Linked DNA regions of Astyanax mexicanus. The protein of the gene in region 1 interacts with the protein of each later gene in a pairwise test. Links are inferred from orthologs where the notes say so. Each region holds a gene or a part of one and is shown on either strand. Other genes may lie near its edges. The genes, in order: rbbp8 and lmo4b.

Evidence for each region.
Region 2: the proteins of rbbp8 (region 1) and lmo4b interact in binary tests that used the Homo sapiens proteins (3 or more experiments, as listed by UniProt). The link is inferred for Astyanax mexicanus from reciprocal best matches to the Homo sapiens genes RBBP8 and LMO4.

The regions. Positions count from the first base shown.
Region 1 is NC_064413.1:973,420-981,198, forward strand, and holds the start of rbbp8 (DNA endonuclease RBBP8), read left to right. Parts: upstream 1-4,615; 5' UTR 4,616-4,704; intron 4,705-5,793; 5' UTR 5,794-5,851; coding exon 5,852-5,951; intron 5,952-6,461; coding exon 6,462-6,504; intron 6,505-7,003; coding exon 7,004-7,099; intron 7,100-7,779. Other genes in the region: N-acetyltransferase ESCO1, read right to left, coding at 1-1,926. UniProt on the Homo sapiens protein: Endonuclease that cooperates with the MRE11-RAD50-NBN (MRN) complex in DNA-end resection, the first step of double-strand break (DSB) repair through the homologous recombination (HR) pathway.
Region 2 is NC_064412.1:49,901,415-49,909,634, forward strand, and holds the start of lmo4b (LIM domain transcription factor LMO4b), read left to right. Parts: upstream 1-5,082; 5' UTR 5,083-5,600; intron 5,601-8,220. UniProt on the Homo sapiens protein: Transcription cofactor. Plays a role in establishing motor neuron identity, in concert with MNX1, acting, at least in part, to disrupt LDB1-LHX3 complexes thereby negatively modulating interneuron genes in motor neurons.

The DNA.
Region 1 (7,779 bases):
TGGAGGAGGAGGAGTTTGAGGAGGTGGATGTTGTTGGACAGGGGTGATGGATGCAGACGACGAGTCGGGCAACACAGACTGCGTGGAATCGTTTGCAAGCTCCTGATTGGCCTGATCAGACTTGAGCTTCTTCACACGCGTCCACGTCAGCTTGTCCCTCTGCAGCTCCACCTGCCTGAGTCTCTGGAAACGCGACAGCTTCTTCTTCTCCTGGGTTTTGAGAGGAACGGACACCTGGCTGAGGAAGAAGCGCTTCTTGGGTGTGTTTTCTTGCACCTTAGGCTCGGATGTTTCCTCGGCGTGGGTTGCAGTGGAAGGCAGGTCACTGGAAACAGTGGGAACTGGTGCATCCTCCACTTCATCACTTTTGCTTTGGGTGATCTCTTCAGATTGAGATTGAGCACTTTTCTTGTTCTTCTTTTCTTCTTCTTCTCCTTCTACTACTACTTTTTCTACTCTTTCTACTGCATCTTCTTCTGAAGCTAATGCTGCTGTTGTTGCTGCTGTTGTAGTTATTGTAGGTGTTGCAGTTTTTGCTGGTGCATCCGATGCGATATCATCTGCAATTTCCTCACACAGAGCTAAGAGGTTGAGCTGCTTGGGGGGCTGCCTCTTAGCAGCAGCTGCTCTCTCCTCAGCCAGAGCTGCTAATCGGGCCTTGGTTCTGGCCTGAGGATTCATCGCTTGCTTCTTTGGAGGTTCAGCGCTGGCCTGTGCAACAGAACCCGGTGTGGAGGAGTCCTTAGCGCCATCCTGTGGCAGAGATGGAGTCGAGGTGCTCTCTTTGCACACGACAGCTTTGCTGGTTTCTTTTAGAGCTAATGCCTCCTGCAAATCCTGCAACTGCTGCAAGTCCTGCGAAGGCAGCGCATTGCAATTCTCTGATGAGGCACCAAGGTTCCCGCCAACTACTTCCTCCACAGTTTCAATCTCAACCACGCAGTGTTCAATCTCAATATCGTCCAGATTCAGAAAGGTTTCTGAGGTCAGAGATCCTTCGGAAGCAGCAGACAGTTCTGTATCTTGGGCAGTATCCTGTACAGTAGTATCCTGTACAGTAGTATCCTGTACAGTAGTATCCTGTACAGTAGTATCCTGTACAGAAGCATCCTGTACAGAACACGTATTAACCACCTCGACCTCGTCGGACACATCTTTACCATTGAAGCTGGTCTCCTGAATAACTTTAAAAAGGGCTTGCAGAGGTGGCGGGGACTTTCTCATCACACTCACCTTAGCATCTAAAGTTACAGTGATTTTCTCGATAGGATCAGGCGGGAGTTCTTTATGCTCATTAAGCGGTATCTTGCTCAGCGTTTTAGCACCAGAGGCTCGGAGAGGGTCTTGGTCTGTGACGTCGATGATGTCCACCACGCTGTTTTTCTCCGGCATCGTCGTCTCTTCGCTTTGTATATCAGGAGGTCTACCGTAGTTGTGCTCCGTTCGCACAGGATCCACAGCTGCCGACACCGTGCTAACGGTTTCAGACGAGGGAGATGAGCATTTACCTTTCTTTGCTCTTCCAGCGTACTTCCTACTTCCTTTTTTCAGAACAGGCTCACTCTGACACACTTTCTCTCCAGGTATCTCTGAAGCTTTACTCCCACCTTTAGAGCCCAGCTCTTTTGGTGCAGCAGATGCATTCGATGCCTTCCGCTTTTTCCTACCAGTCAGTTTTTTAGGGGCTATCTTCAGCCTGGAGGAGCGACGCGGCTGCTTTTCCTTCTCGTCCTTCAGATGAGCTTTAGACGTCTTGCTGGACTGAGCTGAACCTTTCCTCTGCGAGACTCCAGCCCTCAAGGACCTCTTGGTCGTCGTCTGAGATGTTTGACCGTGTTTATCGGACGCTGCCGGACTCTGATCCACCTTTTTCTTCTTCACTTGAGGTTCAGCTTGAGCTGGCATCTTTCTTTTGGGACCGAGCATACTAAAGAAAAAAGAACACATAAATGGATAAATAATAAATACGAAGTAAACGCTGGTACAAGCAAGTATGTATAAGCATTCATAAAAATGTTAAAGCCTAGACACTGTCTACATGTTTATATAGAGAGCGGGTTTAAAAGGCTTGTGATGAAAGACATAAATAAGTGGAATACAAGTTAAGGTGTTTAAGTACATACAATTAAAAAACATAGCTTTCAACACAGTTTGTAAAGCCTAAAAATAATACAGTCATGTGCCCACAGCTAGAAAAAAACACGAATAAGCTGCTCACTCATTTTATCTGATTTAATTATGAATTTGGTATCAATGTTCCAAAGCAGAACATTTACTAGGAAGAATTACAGTGTAGATATGGGCATCAATTTCAGAGATAAATTTCTACTAGTAAGTATATATCTGTAACTGAAGTATTACTACTAAAAATGTAATTATAGTAAAGAGAAAGGTAAACTAACATAGGTAAGAACTGCATTACAGAGCAGTTAGGTAATCTAGATACTGTTTGAATGGTTGGAGTGATTTAATCTAATTTAATTAGATTAAATAATAGATTAAAGAAGAAACATAGGAAGAATTACAGTGTAGATATATCTGAATCTGCAATTTCTACTAGTAACAGAATAAATGTAGATATATTTAACTGGAGTTTTTACTAGTAAAATGTAATTATAGTTAAGAGAAAGGTAACCTAACGTAGGACTAGTCAGAATTACATCAATGATATGTGATCCTGGTGATTTTATGACTATTTTAAATTTGGGTGAAATGTTGTCCGTCGTTTATACAATGAAAAACTATGTTTATTTCATTCAAATATATACCTATACGTAGTTAAATCAGAGAAACTGATTATTTTGATGTGGTCTAATAATTGTTTTCCAGAGCTGTATATACAGGTGATACAGCTGATAACTGAAATTAAAGTCTCTGCTGGTAAGATCTGCATAACAAAGCTCTGTACTTTGTGTTTTACTGCTAAACTCTTGGGGTGATTTTAGTCTAAATCGGCTAATTTTAGGTATAATATACTGTTTATAAAGGTAAATAGAGGCTTACTTCAGTTGGGAAAGCTGTATTTCCTTTCCTTTATAAAGTGTTTTCCTCCAGTCGGTCTCCTGCCCGAATCAGATGCGGTATTTTCGGTGTTTTTGTTTTTTTTTGGCTGTTTTTTGGGGTGTTTTTGGGTCTGAGGCGGCGGAATGTCGAGGCAGTGAAAATGTAGTTAGCTTAGCTAAGCGGCTAACCCACAAAAACCTCCTGAAACGCGGCTTTTCAGCCCGAACTGCTGCTTATAAATCATACCGGCGGATCTGTATCCCCTCTACACCAGAGTACAGCCCCGCGGAGCGGCGCAGGCGGGCTAAATCTGCGGTAAAGTGCGGTAAAGCTTCTGTAAAACAGCTGTTCTGCGCTGCGATAAGTTTACCTTCTCTTCCGGCGCCCCAGTTTTCTTCGACATCTGTGGCGAGTCAGACTCACCGATACCGCCCCCCAGCGGTGAGAGCGCTCACTGCAGCAGCGGCTCCCCTCCTTCAGCCTCAGTACTTTTCCACTGTTTATTATGTTATAGTATGTTATAGGAAAAATTAAGAGACCACTTCAGTTTCTTACGGATCCTCTGAAATGACATGGTGTTTTTTTACGTTAAAAATGGTAAGCACCCGATACTAAGTGGTGAGCACCACATACTAAGTGGTGAGCACCAGATACTAAAGCCCAATATATACTTTTGAGTCGAACCTACGATGTAGCCTACATATCCCGCAAAACTGTGCTATGTAGCAGAGCGCGTTTATACTTCTGCGTGCGCGTGCAGTTAGAACCGGCGGACCAATCACAGCGACCGTACGTGTAGCACCGCGCATAATTACATTTACAGAGAGTTGCACTCAAGCCATGGCGTGGGGTATGTGGCGACGCAAAGGCTCTGGCAGAGGTTTGACGCAGAAGTAGAAATTGGCCTTAAGTGGTGAGCACAACATACTAAGTAGTGAGCACCAGACACTAAGTGATAAGCACCACATACTAAGTGGTGAGCACCACATACTAAGTAAAACAAAAAATAAATACTAAATATACACATACTAAAAAAAGTTACACCTTGTCCCTTCAGGCCAGGGGCTCCGTAGATTTCTGAATCAGTTTCTCTGATTTTGCAATTTATAGGTTTATGTTTGAGTAAAACAAACATTGTTGTTTTATTCTATAAACTACAGACAACATTTCTCCCAAATAAATAAACATATTCTAGTCATTTAGAGCATTTATTTGCAGAAAATGAGAAATGGCTGAAATAACAAAAAAAATGCAGAGCTTTCAGACCTCAAATAATGCAAAGAAAACAAGTTCATATTCGTAAAGTTTTAAGGCATCATGTTCTCCTCCTCCACCAGTCTTACACACTGCTTTTGGATAACTTTATGCTGCTTTACTCCTGGTGCGAAAATTCAAGCAGTTCAGTTTGGTGGTTTGATGGTTTGTGATCATCCATCTTCCTCTTGATTGTATTCCAGAGGTTTTTAATTTGGTAAAATCAAAGAAACTCATCATTTTTAAGTGCTCTCTTATTTTTTTTTTTCAGAGCTGTATATAAATGTTTTTGTGGGTTTAGTTTATTTTATTGTTCTGATGTTTTTGTACTGGTTTGCCTGCAGGGTGAAGTGTTTCCGTCCGGCCGCTGGGGGCGCTGTTCTGCTGCCGGGTCAGACGGGCTTCAGGTCTGGCGGGCTGTTCGTTTGTGTGTTTGGGAACAGCTGGGTAAGAATTTAACGTTTTCCTGCTGTTTTTAGGATTTATGTGTAAAATTATGTGTGTTTTAGACTCAAGCAGATATAGGTAAGACTCTGTTACGCGTGTTATTTAGGTTAGCCCGCAGGTTCTGTTTAAAAACGTGCGTAAAGTCTGTCTTTTTGTTTGTTTGGGTTGTTGGTTTTAATGCAGTTTCGGATTTATGAATCGTTTTTACGAGATAAACACACACAAACACGTAACTACGTTAGTATTTATTAGTGGAAAACACATAGGGTTTTTAGTGAGCTTCGACTTTCCGAGTTATAGCTAAAATAACTGTGTTTTTAAACTGTCTGTAGCTGTAGTTTTAGACTTTATACAGATAGCTAAGCTAAATAGCTAAGCTTATGTTTGTAAACCTAGTTAAGCTAACTAGCTAAATAACTAGCTCGTTACAGTGGAATTAAAAACAGTTTCCCTTATAAATCATTGGTTGTTTTCAGTTCAGCAATTGTGTTTAAATATATAATATAGCAGAGAAACGCAGTGATATTTGAGAAGTAAAATTAAGTTTATAGGATTTACAGAAAGTCTGCAATTATTATTTAATCTAATCAGACAGGTGAATAAATTTGGGCACCAACAGAAGAAATACATTAATATTTAGTAGATCTTGCTTTTGCAGAAATAAAATAACAGCCTCTAAATGCTTCATAAAGCTTCCAATGAGAGTCTTGTTGAAGCGTCTGGTTGAAGGTATTTTGGACCATTCTTCTTTACAGAGCATTTCTAGTTTAGTCAGGATTTTATTTGCAGGATTTCATCAAAAGAACATGTGTGGAGGTGGTTTGTTGTCAAGGTGGCCGCATATAGGATATGATTAAAAAAAGATGTATTTGGAGCATATTATGTATATTGATTTTTTTTGTTGCATTTTTTTGTATTTACTTTCTATGTTAATGTTGTTTTCAACCAAAATCACCTAATGTAAAGCTCCAAGTTAAAATAAGTATGAACTTAAAACTATAAAATTTAACAGAAACATTATTAATATTCATATCTCACGTTCAGATTTTTTCACACCGGTTAATTTAACTGCTATTTCTGTCTCAACAGAGAGTGTGCATGTTGGCTGTTCGGCATGTGATGAGGTAGCTTGGTGGACTAAACGACAATGACCAGTCCTCAGTTCAGTGGCACCTCTGGCAATAATGAAGAGCTCTTTCAGGATCTACTGAGCCGCCTCAGGGAGTGCCATGATACTGTAGTACAAGGTACTGTCTCTGGAGAGCTTGCACAACAATTTACATTTTAATAGCGTTAATACTACAGTAATGCTGGGCAGCAGTGATTATGTTCCTATATTAAACAATAAATGTAAAAACAAATTTCTCAGCAGAAACTGTTCATTTGATTGTTTGTATACAGTTGGTTAAAAGCTAAATGTGTTTTAATTGGTTAATTTGTTTGAACCTAGTAAGTGAGTCAGTGGTAGTACTATACTAAAACTAGCAGCTGCCACTAAAAGCTGAACTTTGCAGCAAATTGTCATGCACCGCAGAGTGCACACAGATTCATGCAATCTGGTCAGTTTGAGGTGTCTGTGAGCTGGTGTATCACTGCGCTACTCGACAATGCTAAATAAATACATATATTTTCCAAATGTAGACATAAAAGCATCTCAGGGTTTTACTAACACACAGCCTGTCAGTGTTACATATGTAAAAAAAATAGCAGTATCTGACACTTCTGGATTTTAAGAGACTCCAAATGTTTTTTTGTAGGTCTGCAGTCAAAGGTGACCAAGCTGAAGAAGGAGCGTTGTCTGTAAGTAGAGTTTTTGGCCCTTTCTTGTTTACTGTGTTTTAAGCTGTTTTAACCCTTTCAGACCTGTTTTAACTACAGTGATGTTTTTTTACTATAAAATCTATATAGCAAATTAATCTATACAGCGAATTAACAAAATTATTTAATAATTGATTTTTATTTTCATTACATTGGAAGTTTGTGTGTATTTTTTTTTTATTTCACATTGACCTTTTTACTTCATAAACCATTCTTAAACAGTAAAATTAAAATTAAACATTAAAAATGTTCTAAATTACATTAGTAAAAATTAGCTCTTACTTTGCCTCAATGGCTTTAGTGCTACTGTTCTTTTTTCAGTACAGAGGGCAGACAGTGTTCAAACTGTGTTAATAGTCTTATGTGTAAAAATAAAGAAAATACAAGATGTCCATTGTAATGAATGCAGGGTCTGAAAGGGTTAAAGCAGTACCTGCAGTGTTCTGTCAGTGATATTTGTGCTGCTTGTTTTCTTTATAAGCGACGCACAAAAACTGGAGGAATTCTACAATAAAAATCAGCAGCTACGAGAGCAGCAGAAAGCCCTGCAGGAATCTATCAGACTCCTCAAAGAGAGGTATTTCTCTTTACTTCTCTAGGATTGAATATTCCCAGATGTAAACTTCATTTATCATGTATTATACTTTATGCATGTAACTTAATTACAGAAAAAGCCTTAAATCAAAATGATTATGCAAATTAGTTCACATGGATTTGTCTAATAATAATAATCTATGAATAAACTATTGTAAAATTTTCATGTCCTGAAGTGTAAAATTAAAACTTCATAAACAACTATTCAGATACTGATTTGAATTATGCTGCACAGTGTCAATTTTATATATTATTTAGTATTTAAAGAGTGCCTGGAAGTGTCTTATTTTATTTATATATTAAAGCATTTATATATTTCGCTTTAATAATATGTAGTGATTAAATAAAGTCTATATATCGTCCTCACCTGATCCGCTATAAATTCATGATTAGAATTTAATAGAATGCAAACTGACCAAAATGCATTTATTTCTTTATTTTTTTTACAGTGAGTAATAAAAAGTAATAAAAATAATAATTCATATTTAATTATGGGAAGATGGACAACATATTCTGCTATGTCTAACTGACACTGATACGCATGTAACCGTTCGTATTCACCAGTAGTTACTATATTATTACATGGATTGTTAATGTTTAATTACACAGTTATTGGAGACAATTGTTAAATCAGTGGGACTGATATTTCTGTTTTATGAAAAA
Region 2 (8,220 bases), on another chromosome or scaffold:
TTTTTCTTGCCCATTTATGAAAAGCTCATTAAAAACAGGCAAAGAACAAACAAAGCTTCTCCTTTGAGGCACCCATTCAGACTCGTCCCCTAATTTCCCTCTAGTTTTAATAGTTGAGATAAATTAATTATTCCTTTGTGGAAAATACATTCTTTGCCATCTTTGGCTCATTGTTCCAGCCGGAGAGAATGGCGCCTAATCCTGGATGGAACAGAGTTCCCCTTCCAGCAGGGAAATCAGACCGCGCTCCGCAATCAACCACGACCACTCACAATTAAACCATTAAGACGGCCTACCGGAGACTCTTTACACACTGTACGTCTTATTAATGAATCCAGAGGCAACTCATAATTGCGCCCGAACTGATTAACTGCCCACTGAAACCCCGTCTCAGAGTGCCATGACACTTTTCACCTTCTGAACTACTCAAACAAACATTTCAGCACAATTCAACTTACAGAGTTACAGAGCCAACCACTGAAGTCCGAACCAAAGTCTGAACTCAGATTCATGCGTTTGTATACAGTACACAGTATACAGTATAGAGTTAATTATCAGAATACTCTCCCAGATGGCATGAAGAAACGGCCTGAGCTCGACTTTTGTATACTGCAAAAATCTAAAAAAATAAATATTAGGAAGTAAAATTATTAAATTTCAATGCAATAAATCTTATTCATCTTTTTTCTCTGATAAGAGTTTTTGTCTTACTAATCATTGTATAGATTGAATAGTAAGTGTAAGATTATTCAGCTTATTTTAGGAATAATGATCTTAATCAGACTCACAAAACAGAGGTACAAAAGGAGTACTTTTTTGTACTCAAAAGTACACTCTTCATAATTGTACCCTCAAAGGTACAATATTGGTCTTAACAGGGTCAGATTTGTGCCCTCTGAAGTAGAAAGTAATTCCTAACAGCAATAAGTACAAATTTGTACCATTTAACCAGGCAAAAGGTACATTCAGTATACTGTACCACTTTACTAATAAACAATATATATTTTATTTTCACATTTTTTTATTTGAAAGCCAGACAATTTTGCATCATGAAGTTCTTGACACATATTTAGTTGATGATAATGTTTATAATCTTTATAATCTTTACTGGCACAAAAAACATGGGAACAAAAAAAGACTTTCACTGAAAGGTACTTTTTCGTACCTTAATATAAGGTACAGCCCCAGCGACAAGCTTTTCACTCTTTTAAGTACAAATCTGTACTTACTTTTCTTAGTGTGTATTTTAAGTAGTTTAAACTTAAAATAAGCACAAACAAAGTCACCAGTCAAGTTATTCTGTTTCTTGTATCCAAATATAGGCCAAAAAAGTGTGATATTTTCTTGATTCAGGTGTTACTTCATTTATTTTGACACTTTGCTTGATTGCTTGTTATAATAAATCTAACTAAGAAAAATTAGCTTACCCCATTGGCAGTTTTTTTTTTTTGCTTAACATAGTTTTTGCCAATGGATTTTTTGCAGTGTATCATCGACTATTGGCATCGTCTATGTGGAATTGAGATGATGGCACTTGCAGCTCAGGCCAAATGTGGTTTACACTTGCGAACCAGGATGTTGGCAAAAGTGAAATGGGAGGATTCTCATATTATACTCTGCAACAGGGGCGTCGCCTGCCCTGGGCTTCCGGGCTATGGTTTTAAGTAAGCAACAGTAAAAGGTAACTATATTATTGCTAATATAAATTAGAAGTAAATTACATTGTTAAATAAAATGCTGGGAAAACTGGGGAAACTCTATGCAAAAGTGAAAGCTAGTGATGTTTTTTAAATGTTTTTAGAGTTTGTCATTTTCGTTTTCTGCCACATGCAGTTTTTTCATCTTGTTTCTAAGTTTTTTAATAAGACGGCAACAATCAACCATGCTGAATTACAGCACACTTTTAAATCCATCAAATATAAAAAAACTACATATTATGCAGGATGCTTAAAAAATATATGTAAAAAAATCTTATAATTGGCTGAGCTGAGCCCCGGGTCTTTAGCTGCCCATGCAACGCCCCTGCTCTGCAACCAGAGTGGTGGCACATACGGCTCAGGCTGATTGTCGTATTGTACTCAACAACCGAAGACTTGCCCCAGGCAGTTTAGGCTACTTATCATTGTCACACAACTTAGCCTGTGTCTGTCTTGTGTTTTTTCCTCTTTTGGTTCGATGTGCTTCTGCCCTCTGTTTTCCTGTCTTGTGTTCCCAGCCATGTGCTTTTTTAAGCACATGGCCATGTTGTGTTATTGTCCTGTCTTCGCCCTAGCCTTTCCCTAGCCATTAGTGTTGCCACCTTGTGTCTTGTTTGTAACCCCGCCCCCTCGTTTACTGGTTCCAGGTGTTCCTTACCCTCCTAGTGCATTTAAGCCCCTTTGTCTTAGTGTTTTTTGCTGTACTTGTATGTATGCGTCAGGTTTGTTTTTGATTTGAGTATTATTGTTTTCTAAGTTTTGATTAGTTTTTGTTCTGGTCTTAGTTATTTAGTTTCCCAGTTTAGATACCTGTTTTGTGTATCTTGCATTACTGGTGTTTGTTTTGTGTTTTGCTTTTGTTTAACTTTCCTGTGTGACAGTTATATTATACTCAACAACCGGGGTGATGGACTAAGTGATTTGAGCCAATTCCCATATTATACTCGACAACTGACGAACTGGAAAAAAGTGGACTCTTTAACCGAAGAGGTGTGGCTTGAGTCGATTGTCGTACTATACTCTACAACCAGAGAGTTCGCATTTGCGGCTCAGGTGAGCCCAGATGTGAGCCGAGCATTTGGGCCAGAATAGAGCCCAGATTCAAATTCGGATCTCTGCCAGTGCAACTCGTGCTCAGTGTGTGGTTTTTGTTATCAAGGGTGTCTTCTAGCCTTCAAAACACACAAATAATAAAGTAAGATTTTAATTTGCTACACTATAATCATAATTAAAAGGCAACACAGAAATCTCATTTTTTATAGCTCAACCACTTTTTATTTCCCGCAATGCATGCGCCCAAGGTGGACAATAACAGGGTGGATTATTATTATTATTTTTTTTATTTTTTATTATTTAATGAAAACATGGTTGATTTACAGTTGAAGACATGTTAAATTGTATACAGTAGCCTTGTATCTGTTTCAAAGACACATTTTAATTTTCTAAAATTCGTTTGATTTATATATGTCTAGTCAGAATGAATTAATAGAACTATTATTATTACTATTGATGATTTATTGACATAGCTGATGCCTGAAAAGGGATTCTAGCAGTAAAAACTACTCTAATGAAGAATAAGGAATCTTAATGAAGAGATCTTGTATTTGTTGAGTTCATTATTTACATTTTAAATATATATATATATATATATATATATATATATATATATATATATATATATATATATATATATTTTTTTTTTTTTTTTTTTTTTTCTGTTGGTGTTCTGTTGCAGTTTTGTTGCAGTTCTACAGAATTCTCTTCATTATGCTATAGTGACAACACCTTTATTTTCTAGTAGGTTCTTCTCTTCACCTCCTGCTATAGGAATATAAGCTTCCATTGCCCCTTAGACTAATGTAGTCCCCAAACTTTACACCAGCAGAGATGAGTAATCAATTATCAGCATTAAATATTGACGTTTAATGTATTCAGTTGTGTTTTTAGTGGTATAGTTCCATTTATGTCCAGATGATGGCGCCACTGTGTAAGAGCAGGTGCTGAAAAATGGCTTTGTGTTGGACAGTCAGTCACAGCAGCATCAAACTCACAGCCTGAAAAGTTCCTGTGCTCTCAGCTACATCTACAGCTACCAAAATATATATATATATATATATATATATATATATATATATATATATATATATATATATATATATATATATATATATATATATATATATATATATATATATATGCAGGTCAGCAGTGTTGCTCTGATATAGGGGTTGGTTGTGAAGGTGTTGCTGCTACATATGGTTAAATGTTGGAAAGCAACTTTATTTGGCTAATGGAACTGTATCCAAAACATGAAAATATGGTAGATGGTGCAACGCATATATTTGATAAATACAGCAGTGCCTACAAACATTAAGCTAAATGTTTTAGTCCCAAAACATTTAAATATATTTGGCTTAGTCTTCAAACATTTTGCTAAATGTTTGTCAAAAAAAAAACTTCTAAAAAAATTTCTAATAGGGCTGTGCCTGAAAATGTTTGGCTAAATGTTGGTATCCAGGAATATTACAAAAACGCTTGTCTAATAGAGCTTTGTCTAAAAACATTTGGCTAAATGTTTATATCCAAGTACATTGCAAAAATACTTGTCTAACAGCGCTTTGTCTAAAAATGTTTTGCTATATGTTGGTATCCAAGAACATTGTAAAAATACTTGTCTTAACTGATCAGTGTGTCTAAAAACGTTTGGCTAAATGTTCAAGTCCAAAAATATAGGGAGTTCAGAAACATGTGGTGGAATGCAACTCCACCAAATTCCATGGAATCCACACACATTTAGCTAACTGTTTTAACCCAAACACATTTAAATACATTTTGGCTAATTGTAGTAAGGTTTCAAACATTTGGCTAAATGTTTCAACAAAAAAAAAAAAAAAAAAAAAAAAACATTTAAAATAATTTGGCTAATAGTAGTAAGTCTTCAGACATTTGGCTAAATGTTTTGACCCAAAACATTTAAATACATGTGGCTATTAGTAGTTAGTCTTCAAACATTTGGCTGAACGTTGGAGTCCAAAAATATTGCAAAAAGTTTTGTCCAATAGAACAGTGTACAGAAACTTCTGGTTAAATGTTGGGAGTCCAAAAACGTTTGGTTAAATGTTGGAACGCAATACATCTATGTATCAGAGCTGTGTCTACAAAGGTTTGATTAAACGATGGAAAATATAAAAGTAGAAAAATTAAACTGCAGCTCACCTCCTTCACTCAGAACTCAATGTGCTGTATTGCGCTGCTCTGATTGGCCGGATTTGTTCATCCCCCGGAACGGAGCTCCGCACGATTGGCTGCTACAGATTGACGTGCTGCAATGTGGGCGGAGCCTGTGTGTTTTTTTATTATTTGTATTTTTTCTCAGTCACTGACACATGTAGAGCAGCGCAGCGAGCAGCGCGGAGAGAGAGAGACAGAGACAGAGACACGAGGAGCAGCGGCGGAGATTACGAGCCTCACACCGCGTTTCAGAGCTCTCACACCGGCCACAGCCTGAGGGAAATTACCGAGAGCTGAACGAGAGACCGAGCTGAGCGAGAGTACGAGCGGTGTCGGGTTCGGGAGAGACAGGGAGACGGCGGGAGGAGGCGAGGGACGGGTCGGAACCGGTGGAAATATAATCTGTAAACTCCATTTGCTGAAGCGGATCCGGAGCTGAGCAGCGCTGTAGCTGATTCTCCAGCCCGCCAGAGAGCTCACCACTGCCCGGATACCTCCTCATGCAGAGCCGCTGAGCTTTATGGACGATTTGTTTTGGTGTTTTTTGAAATATTTTGTTAATTTGACATTTTTTACCAGTTTTTGAACTGTTTCTTGACCCCCCACGGGACACAGAAAGAAAGCTACAGTCATTTAGACGCTTGAAAACGAATTTACTCGGCTGTAAAAGAGGTGAGTTCGGGTTTTTAATGGTGTAAAACTAGTCCAACTTTTAAACTTACACCCTTTTTAACTTAGAAAAATCTACATCTTACTATTGTCAGAATAATGTAATGCTTATATTTGTTTATTAAGCTTTTATTAAGGGTGGTTTACTTCCTCAGGTACAGCTGCATAGCTAACCTAGTAAACGTGCGCATTAATTAGGAATAAGCTCATTACAATAAGGATGCACGATACTGAAGAAAAAAAAAGGTGCATTGCGATATTTTTTCCTGCGATATATATCACGATATGAATTTTTTTTTTGAAAAATAAATAAATAAATAAAATCTAAAAAATTAACGATCCAACATGTCACAATATTGATAATCTAATAATGCTCTGTGTATTGAAGATTTGAGTGAAATCAATATTGATGTAATCTACTTTTGATAACTAATAGTTTGTTATAGATATGTCATTTAAAATATCTTTTTTGTATCAAACAGCAAAAAAAAGGATGCAGAAGTTATGTGAATATGTGTATGATATATTGTGTAGCCCTAGTTTAAATAGCATGGCAAAGACTGCAATAATGTCAACTAATATTCACAAAAAGTCAAGTCTGTCACTTGTTTTATCATACAATATATGTTTTTATACAGTATTTTGTACAAAATATAGTTCAATAGTTGTGCTGTTAGTAACACATTTTAAAACGTCCATCCAAATACCCTCCTATACACACAGCACTTTAAAATGATTTGTTTTAATCAAATGTTGCTACATACTTTTCATGTTAAACCACAGTACAGTAATTACACACTCTGTAATGCATGTAAAAAAAAGTACACACAGTTTAACTATAGCTCTAGAATTGCACTTTTTTTAATGTCAAAGGTATACTACTGTAATGAACAGGTATTACTTATAATAAGGTTTATAAGAAATATAAGATAAGATCATCCTTTATTAATCCAAACCACAGTGGGGGAATTGGTGTATTGCAATATTACAGCAGTGTAGAGGACAGAACAGATGGAAAATATGTTCAAAAATATACTAGACATTAGTATTACTCGTGCACATGATGACATAGACTAGTTAACAGATTAAACAGATTGTGCTACACATGGTGAATCAATGGGATACTATTATAGGATGTTGCATATATAGTAAACAGTATGCAGTTATCCTGCACCTGGTTGGACAGTGATAAAAATAAAGCGTTAATAGTAAATAGTAAAGAGCTGTATTGAAAAACCTTATAGAACTGGAGGAAACATTGTCCCCCATAGTGTATATGTTGTGTTAAACAGTAAACAGTGATGAATAAGCAAATTATTAAAAGCAAAAAATAAGTAAATAAGTTATAATATCTCTCTTAATGAAATTGAACAAAGTGAATAGAGTGTGCTACACATGGTGAATGGGGAGATATAGCATATAGTAAACAGTACACAGTTCTACAACAAATGGATGGACAGTGAGTAAATAGTACATAGTAAAACTTTATGTTGTACGTAGATGTAGATTAGAGAAAACATGTTTTCCCAGTATATAGTTTGTGCTGTTGTAGACAGTGCTCATTTATAATTGACTTAAGTTAACAATAAATAAATAGCAGATTAACATTAAAAAGATGTGATATTGGACATAGCATGCATAGTAAACAGAGTGACCAGATAGTGAGTGCTGCACATGGTGAACAGTACACAGTTATACAGCACCTGATTGGACAGTGATAGAAGTATTGTACATAAGTAAACAGTAAGTGTTTAGTGTTATTTTACAAAATGACATAGAAAACAGAGTGAACAGAGTGTGCTACACGTGTTGAATGGGACTATTATGGGATATTGCACATATAGTAAACAGCACACAGCACATGATCTTACTTTAATAGCAAAAAAATGTGATTTAATAGCAAATTACCAATAAATATGTAATATGAGTACTATGTATTATGATCATATAGTTCTAAACATGGTAGTACAAGTAGCCTGGGGGGATATTATGGATATTGAACATTAAACAGTAAACAGTTATGTTTAACAGCACATGGTTAGTGCTGTGATAGTGATGCTTAGTGTTATTTAAGTTATATTGTAGGAGTATAATATATTCATATATATTTATCAGAAATTATTCAATTTAGTCAGCTGAATGAAAGCAGTGTCTGTTATTTATACAGATGTTTAACATCAGAGAGGTCTGCGGTCACCATGCCGCTTATCTTCTCTGGCGAACGCTATATTTCGTGCTCGAGCTGCACGGCCGTGTAATTGCTTGAGTTAGCCCATTTAAGTTAAAAGCCTCCCCCCTTCCTCCTCCTCCTCATCCTCTTCCTCACCCACCTTCAAATCTCCCCTTCCTCTGTAGCCGGAATGAAACTTGACGATGGTCCGATCTTATTTATCAGGAGCAGTCCCTTTCTGTCCGGCCCCTCTGATTCATCTGCTTTTAGATTTAATCAGCACTAAGGTATTGCTTGTCCCTAAGAGCCTCCACTAATGGGGTTTATACTGAATGCCTCTCTCAGTGCAACGTTTTTCTACCCCTCCTCCTCCTCCTCTTCCCTCCTTCCTCCTCCTCCTCCTCCTCCTCCTCTAATTACCTTTCAACACAGATTTGGCTTAGCCCGCCATGA